2 linked regions of the Tribolium castaneum genome follow. The protein of the gene in region 2 purifies or fractionates together with the protein of the main gene of each other region. This does not show direct contact. Links are inferred from orthologs where the notes say so. Each region holds a gene or a part of one and is shown on either strand. Other genes may lie near its edges.

What was found.
Region 1: the proteins of ataxin-2 homolog (region 2) and rin purify together in Homo sapiens (affinity purification with mass spectrometry; 4 studies listed by BioGRID and IntAct, counting the BioPlex papers as one, with this or other methods). This does not show direct contact. The link is inferred for Tribolium castaneum from reciprocal best matches to the Homo sapiens genes ATXN2L and G3BP2.

The regions. Positions count from the first base shown.
Region 1 is NC_087397.1:6,619,599-6,623,873, forward strand, and holds the start of rin (ras GTPase-activating protein-binding protein 2), read right to left. Parts: upstream 2,939-4,275; 5' UTR 2,779-2,938; intron 2,436-2,778; exon of another isoform or gene 2,421-2,435; 5' UTR 2,372-2,420; coding exon 2,274-2,371; intron 659-2,273; coding exon 1-658. Other genes in the region: sqd (RNA-binding protein squid), read right to left, coding at 3,664-3,749, 4,133-4,195.
Region 2 is NC_087401.1:7,996,119-8,000,368, reverse strand, and holds the start of ataxin-2 homolog, read right to left. Parts: upstream 2,876-4,250; 5' UTR 2,778-2,875; coding exon 2,740-2,777; intron 1-2,739. UniProt on the Homo sapiens protein: Involved in the regulation of stress granule and P-body formation.

The sequences.
Region 1 (4,275 bases), on a different chromosome or scaffold from region 2:
TTCCTCAACCGGTGCCGCGGCATTCAACGGTGGTACAATCGTCGAAGGTTGGATGGTGGTGATGGGTGTCGGAAGGACCTGTCCTTGGCCCGCGGCGTTGACATGGGGCACCGGTCCGGGCATCACGTTGATATCGTCAGGATGCACGGCTCCGTTGACCTGGGGCACCGCCGGAGGGGCTAGAACATGCGGGGGCTGGTGGTGGGGCACCGGCGCAATGTTAGTCGGGTTGTAGTAATTCATGGGGGCTTGGTTCATCTGCTGGACGTCGTTCAAAACCGGGCACTCTTGCGAAGTCTCGTCTTCCGGTTCGGAGCGGTTTTCCGGTTCGCATTCCTCGTCGGAGATGATCTCGTCCTGGTATCTGAAGATGTCATTATGAACGTAGTACTTTTTGGGACTTTGGGCGGCCAATACGAAGGTTTGAGTGAAACGGCGCATCGGCTGACCGGCGTTGGATAACTCGCCGGTCACCTGGACGACGACACCGCTGCCGAGAGTGGCTTGGGAGTCGACTTGGGTGATCTTAGCGTGACAGTCGTGGAAATTCAGCTGCTGGATTTTTTGGTGGATTTGTTTCTGGCCGATGACAGGGCTGGTCTCCCGGTTTGGAGGGTCCAAACCGCCATGGATGAAAGAGGAGTTTTGGTTGTAAAATCTGAGAAATCACAAATTATGTACCTTTCTCGTAGCGTCTTGATCGACGTTTTGTTACGTTAGACAAATTTGTTAAAATAAATACAGAGGAAACTTTATCAGTTCCTGATGGTAGTGTCGTAATACTTCAGAAAAAATCAAAATACATTAAGAAGCTAAGACGATTGTAAATACTTTACATAAAAACCCAAATTACAGCAACTGGGTCACGATAGATGGCTTTTTGTTTCCCACGAATATGTTTAAATCTTTTAAGTCAGATAGCTTCAATTGAGACATTACACTAAGAGCAGTAAAAAGCACTTGCAAGAACAATGATTCCGAATTATTGATGCAGAAAGTAGTTTACCTTCTTCTACACAATTTGTTTTAATTTAATTTGAAGTAAAAAATTATTAAATAACGTCAATAAATACTCTGTCTTAATCTTTTGCAAAAAAGATAATTCTGTTTTAGCTAAACCCTGTGTAAGGTTAGGACAGCTACTACGAGTTTGTGTAATGTGTACCCTTGACATTTCATTTTTGAAAAAAATCTTAGGTAATACTCCCCTGACCTTACCTTAAGGTTTGATAAGAAAAGTCTTCTGAAAAACTGAATGAAAGCCAAAGCTTTCAAAAGTATAATTCGATAGAATTCCAGAATATAATTACGACTTCTTTCTCTAAACCGACCCATAAATTAATATGTAAATACTCGCAAATACAATCGAAACCAAAATCTTGTGAACTGTGAAGGATTCGTTTAGTTTATTGATCCGTAAACGCTCTTATAAAACACGTAAAAATATTTCAAATCGATGCTAATAAATCATATTTATTTTAATTTAACTAAAAAATAGTTCAATGAGTATTATTATACCTATAAGCATTTTTTGTTATTTTGGTTTGTAGAATGCTCGTAATAGTTGTTTTCACGTGTGTGATGTAATATGGTTTAAAGGTCATTCTTGTAAAAATGCCTCACCTCGAATTGAAGCTTTGGGAAATGAATTATCCATGCTTCAATTAAGTTTTTTCAAAATAAATAAATAAATCATAGTCACTGCTGTGCAATTAAAATTAATCTAATTAGTGTATTGATAAAACAGTAGGTATCTTACCTTCGTAACCTTGTTCAAAATAAAAATTCACTAGTTAACGCATTGCAAGGACACTTTCTGTAACTATCACACCGAGAAAAATTAAGCAGAATTTAGGAATACAACTAAAATATCTGTACGGTTTTCTCTACAAACGAAACTCAAATTGATTTTGGTAAACAAATTAATATTTTTTGTGATGTTGATAGCGATTTTTTTACAAAAGTTCAATGACCGTTCCTCCAACTCGACGCCTATGAACAATTGGCCAATAAAACTATAAGAAATAAACATATTGATATGGAATTCGTAATGCAGCATGGGCGTGCATCCACATTTATTGTTGTTAAATAAATCGCCACATATTACACCTCATAGACTGTTACAAAACATCAAACAGAAATAAATATTATAGCGAATTTCATTTGAAAATCCTACCTATCGCTCAACACTTGGTAAAAATTTGCATATTTGAAACAATTAACACAGGTGATAAATATGTTTGGCTGATTTTTGGGTGTAAAAATGTGCTTACCGGTGTAGATGGGCAGGGGCCTTGTTCAGCAAAGTGTAGTATTGTCGAACGAATTCCCTTCCTACACTTTGGGGAGATGGGGGAGCCTCCATTACCATTCCTGAAGAGTTATTTACAACTTGAGAAAACGTGCACCAGCAAAGAAGCCTGAAAACGGCAAAACTACCAGCACGCCTTAGGAAATAATCCCAATAATTCGGAGGAAAAAAATGTTAAAATGTGATAGACAAAGGGATTCCATAATTATTGCACACATGGAATGCAGATAACGAAATTTTCACCGAATCAAGCCTTGAGGCCAGTCCGGGCTTCGAATTTCCTTCCATCGAGGCGTTAGAAGGGAAATTCGGGGGCCAAGAAGTAAACAAATAGTCAGGATAGGGTGAAATAACCGCAAATTCTGCACGGCGAGAAAATGGATCATTGTCCATGTCGAATCCAGGAAAACCCGGTATGTGATAATGAACCAAAAAGGGGGAAGAAAGTCGCGCTTTCATTCACTTACCTCTAGATAGTCGGCGAAGCGAGCTAAGGAAGTATTTTCGGTTAAATTTAATTATTAACACGGTAGAAATGTGATTGAAATGCACAAACGCCGCAAAACCACGGGTGTAAACTTCATAAATTGCCAATTTAGTTACGATTTTGGACACCTTAGCCGACAGCGCCACTCAAGGACGTTTTTTAATCTAGAACCCAGGATTTCTTCTATCAATACGCATGCACAAACGGAAGTACCCTGTATTGATTTGGCGCCAAACTTAAAATTTACAGAAAATGGAGGGATTCACATGCACCATTTCGTCGCTTATGCTGTTGGCTTGCACCTTTAGAACTATTAAACACATGAAGGGTGGCGGAAGAAAATCAACAGTTTCAGTAAAAATGTACTCTATTTATTTCCAAATTTTATTAGACCACAACGGCGAACTGTCACAATAGAAATTAAAAAACTTTAAATTAATCAGGACACACATTATAATACATGTAGAGGATATACCTGAATGATGATAAATTATGTACACAAATTTTTTATTATTAAATTGTCATACAGTGGAGGAAGTACATGATGCCCCCCTACACAGATTACATAAACTTACTCTAAAATTACACTATCACTTAAGTTAACGTAATACAATGAAAAACCGGCTTGGCATTCCTGACGTTTAAAAAAAATAAACGGCTTTTTTATGCTTTATAGAAACTTAAATGTTCTGTACAAATTCGATACGAAAAATTGACAGATGAGAAGTGGAATGATCATATTCAAATCATCAATCGAAATATCAAATAAAAAAAGTAACTGAGAAACATCTATAAAAAAAGTAGATGATCAAACAGGCTATCAGTCAGACCAACTCACATACCAAAATGTGTACTACAACTAAATCTAATAGGGTTGATGCCTTTGGTTACGGCCGCCACCGCCGCCACCACCTCCTCGTTGTTTACCACCCTGATAACCCCCGGAGCCACCTGAAAAGAACAAGCAGTATAAAAATTTAATTAGTGATAAATCCTACTCACTAATAAAACTCAAAATATTCTCGCCACCTGCGTTGTTTGTTTGCCAGTTTGTTCTTCAAAATACTTTTTATAAATACTCATTTTTTTAAAAGATATAATCACTTCATTTTTATTTAAATTAGAATGCTGCAACCCTACAATGGTCATTTACTAATTTTTTAAAGATTAGTACGTGACGCAGTGAAAAAATACACGATGGTCTTACTGATTTTTTTTTGGGTAAACGCAGGTTACGACTATTGCTACATTAAAACAAATTTGTTTACTAAAAAATCTAATTTGAATTTGAAACAACACACAGTAACAATAAATGTAACATGATCAGTATGTACCTTTTCCGCGCGCACCACTGCGACCACCACCATATCCTCCGTCATAGTTACCATATCCATAGTCTGCATTCACGTAAACAAAAAAATATCAGTTAACTGTTTTCTACTATAAGCAAAACCAAAGAAAATTACGGACATGTTTT
Region 2 (4,250 bases):
TTAATCATGTAAACTTTAGACAAAATGTACTCAAAAGACGCAATCCTAGTTAATATTACGTGTTTTGTCAAATTTTTGCTGCTTTGTTATTATCAACACCAAAATATTCATCAAAGTTCGTTATAAACGAAAAATTGCACCACATTTTAAGTCAAATCTACTTCGTTACCGTTACCGGAAGTTCGTTATAACCCGTCTCCACTGTAGTCTATTGGCAACTTAGAACGGAAAAAGTGTGATGCGTGTGACCATTCGAATTGTTAGAAAAAAGCCAAGATTTATTGTAATTGTAGCACATTGATTAGGTCGCTTTATCTCTATTTACTTCAATTGTAAATAGTCGAAAACCTGTTTGCAACACGGGGTCAGACGGACGATTATCACGTAAGAAGTATCACCATAATGAATGAATGCAATAAAAAAACGACATGAAAAAGCCTTCACGAGTGTTGTGAAAATAAATAAATAAATAAATAAAAAAGATATGCAGTGATAAAACGCTTCAAACAAATGATAATTTCGGTTTAATTTAGTGCAGTCAGATAGTTGGCTTTGTTAAAATTGTTAAAGTTTTGTTAAATGTTGCTTAAATTAACGTATATTTGAATTTGCTTTTCAATGTTGCCAAGAGGTTTGATAAAAACAAGTAAAACAAAATTTGTTTTTCTGTTTGCCTCATTAAGTCTTATTAACTTATTAAGTTTTGACAAAAATTCAATTTGATTGAACTGAAGTGTGAACTGTCAACTACGGATGATGTTTAAATTTCCCGCTATATCACAGAAGAATAATTTCAAAATTACCCCCCAGAGAACGCCAGTATTAGTTTTCACAAATTATAATTACTAAAAACATATCTTTTGTACAATTAAATGATAAATAACCATGTGTCCGTACTTTTCGTCATTAATTTTAAAAATTACGCATCAACAAAAAATATAAATATAAAAACTGTAACAAAATAAAAAATGTTGCTAGTGTTCTATTTAAAAAAATGTCCCATATACAGGATGATTCAAAAGTGACAAACTCTCATATAGTGTTGAAAGACGTTCAATTAAGCACAAAAATAAAGTAAGATTTTTTTTCAAACAATTTTTAATTTGTTTTCCTTAGCAACGGTATCGATTTTTGCTCTTTTGTTTCCTATGATATCGAATTTAATTTATTGTCGAATTAGCAAGTTTTTTAATAGTTTTGTACATCATAAGAAATTAATTGTTGTTTTTTTTTTTCAACAGGTATTTGTTTGATGTTGCAAAAGCTGTCGTTTCCGCTAAAGTTAAAAAAATTAGATCTGAAGCACCAAAAACATAACTCAAAATTTAACTTCAAAGAGCTCGTGAAAAAAGGCTTTGTCATAGGAACTTTTAATTCAGTTTGATGTTCTTTATCAGTACTCGAAAGATTGTCCGGTGCTTTTGAATCAGACACCTGTATAAATAGATCATTTAAATTACAAATTCCTGTATCTTTTTACTATAACATAATCAAATTTCGTCTTAACTTACTGTTAAGTCCAAAAATCTTGTTAAATATTTATTTAATAATTATAAGTATTATCGGTTCACATTCATAAAAACCACTTCCTAGTGTAAATTGTTTATATTTTGCCTGTGTAAGTCGGTCTCTAAATGAGCGCAAATGTTTCTAGTAATTTCTAGTGAGAAATTTGTCAGAATTGACAGTGTCTACAAAAATAGGTTAGAAGCTCTGAAAGTTTTTAAAGTCTGCTAATTATTCACTTAAATCAAATTTGTGAAGTTGTGAAAATGGTTCAAAATCAGGGTATTAAGACTAATATTTTGTTTTAATAAAAAATAACCAATTTATTTCAGTTCTTTACTGCGCTTGTACCAGGTGTCAAATTTTGAAAGCGAATTAGTACTGCCAATCGGTACACTAAAAAAACTGTAAGCACGGGCGTACCAACCTAACAACTCTACAGCTGGTTGTTATCCATATGAAAATATAGCATGTCGAAAATTTTTTTAAGATTTTGTAAGTTTTGTACGACATCCTTAACTAGATATTTTTAAAAAATCCGGAAATAAATCTCTTTAACGCTAGAAAAAGTTTTTTGATCTATGCTGACTTAGACTAGACACGCTATGATAAATTTCTTTTTTCCCAAAGAAACTTGATAATTTATTAGTTTTACGAAGAATTACTCAAAATTATTATCTCAGTATCTGACTACTTGATTATCAAAAATCAAACTGTCCATTGATTAAAATTTGTTCTTGAAATTGTTTGTTTTGCTAACTTTTCCAGCTTGCTATCAGTGACAAATAATGAAAACATTCATGTCTTATTACTTTCACGTCCAACTTTTGGAACCTCCTTGTATATTAACAGTCATAACCTCAAAGCAATAAATGCCAAAATGACAGTTGACAATTCCGTCAAGTGCAACAACCCTGCATAAAACAAAACATAAAACACCAAATTGGAGATTCGTAAAAAATTAATGAGGTCAATACCTCTGTTTTGGTCTTTAATTCGGCAATTATGTGAAACTAGTTGTTAGGGCATTGAACCTTGAAAAAAGTAAAAGCATTTTTCGCCATCTTAGGGGCTTTTAAGACCACCATAAGCAAAAAAATTGTCAAAAATCGCCAAACACCACATGATTGTCAAATGTCAAACAATATTGTCAAAATTGTCAATTTTCAACGTGTTTCGGGAAACGTCCCATTTTTGATGGATTGCGCTGCGTGGACAGCCCCCTATACTAACCTCAGCGGCCCTCCCCTGTTTTTCCTCTTGTTGTTCATCTCACCGTTACCGTGATGGCCGGTATGGTCCTTATTTCTCGTCGGTACCGGAATTTTGGAGTCGTTGAAAGTACAACTGCTCGAAAAAAAATATTCACGCGGTACGTTCGCGGCCCTCTAACAAAGCAGGCAGCTCCAAAGACACCTAGAAGCGCACAAAATGGCTCAGTGACGTAATCACTGCCACTGTCGATTTTACCTCTTCACATTCGTGGCAGACGGTACCGTAGGCGGTGGCGTCCTCCTCGACACACTTCGTTCGAGACCTGGTGCTTGGATGGGTGCTTTAAAAAACCGATTCCTGTGATAACAAACAATTATAACACAGCATTTGCACAAAGTGTTGTCTGTCAGAGTGACATGGACAAACTGCGCATGCGCACAACACACTTCGGTCATTGCTTCTTTCCTCTAGTTTGGTTTATGGCGGCAAAATTGGGATCAATAAATAAGGGCCTGCGCCACAAGGGACAACTACCTGTTGGTGGTGGCCTAGTTTACGGAGATTTCACCAAAGGGCTTTTTGCACGAGAAGGTGAGTTTTGATGTGTGTGGGTGCATATGCAATCGAGAGGGTACTGACTTATTGCCAACCTGACAGAAATAATTAACATATTTTGATTTTGAAATAAACTAATAATTAATTAATAAAAATGCGCCCCAGATGTTTTGCATTCCTATTTACTTGTACAAAATAAATTAACAAAAATCAGAATCTTAAAGCTCTAAACCCTCTGGGAATTGGTGCATACAATCTTTTTTTGATATTTGTGTTTTTTATAAGTGTAAGCTGTTTCAAAACTATGAAAACGCCAACGTTGCATTTTACCAATTTATTTTTTTTATATTAAATATTAAAATTGTTATTAATGCTTAGATCTCTCATTGAAAGTATAAATTACATTAGCTATTATTTTTTTATAATTCATAACAGCTAATTTTGAGAGAAAATGCGACACTGGCGTTTTTATGGATTTAAAACAGAAAATAAATGTAGTTCCAAGAAACATTCTTTATTGAAAAAATTGGCTAGACATTTTTTATTAAACAAAATGTTTATTAATGGAGTTGACACGAATTTATGATATCGGTGCAATGTATTGAAAATTAAAAAAAATATTTCATAAGTAATTCAAAAATCTGCGCCAACGTCGCATTTTCTCTCAAAATTAGCTGTTACAAAAAATTATTGCACTCCATGTCACATTTAAATTTTTTGCTGTATCATATTTTTGTAATTACAGTATTTTTTTTTTTTAATAAACAATGGAGTGTTATACTCAAAAGTAAAAGTTTTTGGAAATTGCAGATTCTGAAAGTAGACACACAATGATGTCCAGTAATGTTGGTCTGAGGTTTTTTAAATCGGTACTTTTTTAGTAATAATCGAAAATTTGCGCTCTGACGTAAGCAATGTCTCGACTAATGATTCGTCAGTCTTTCGCGGCATACAATTAACGCTACGACCTACGT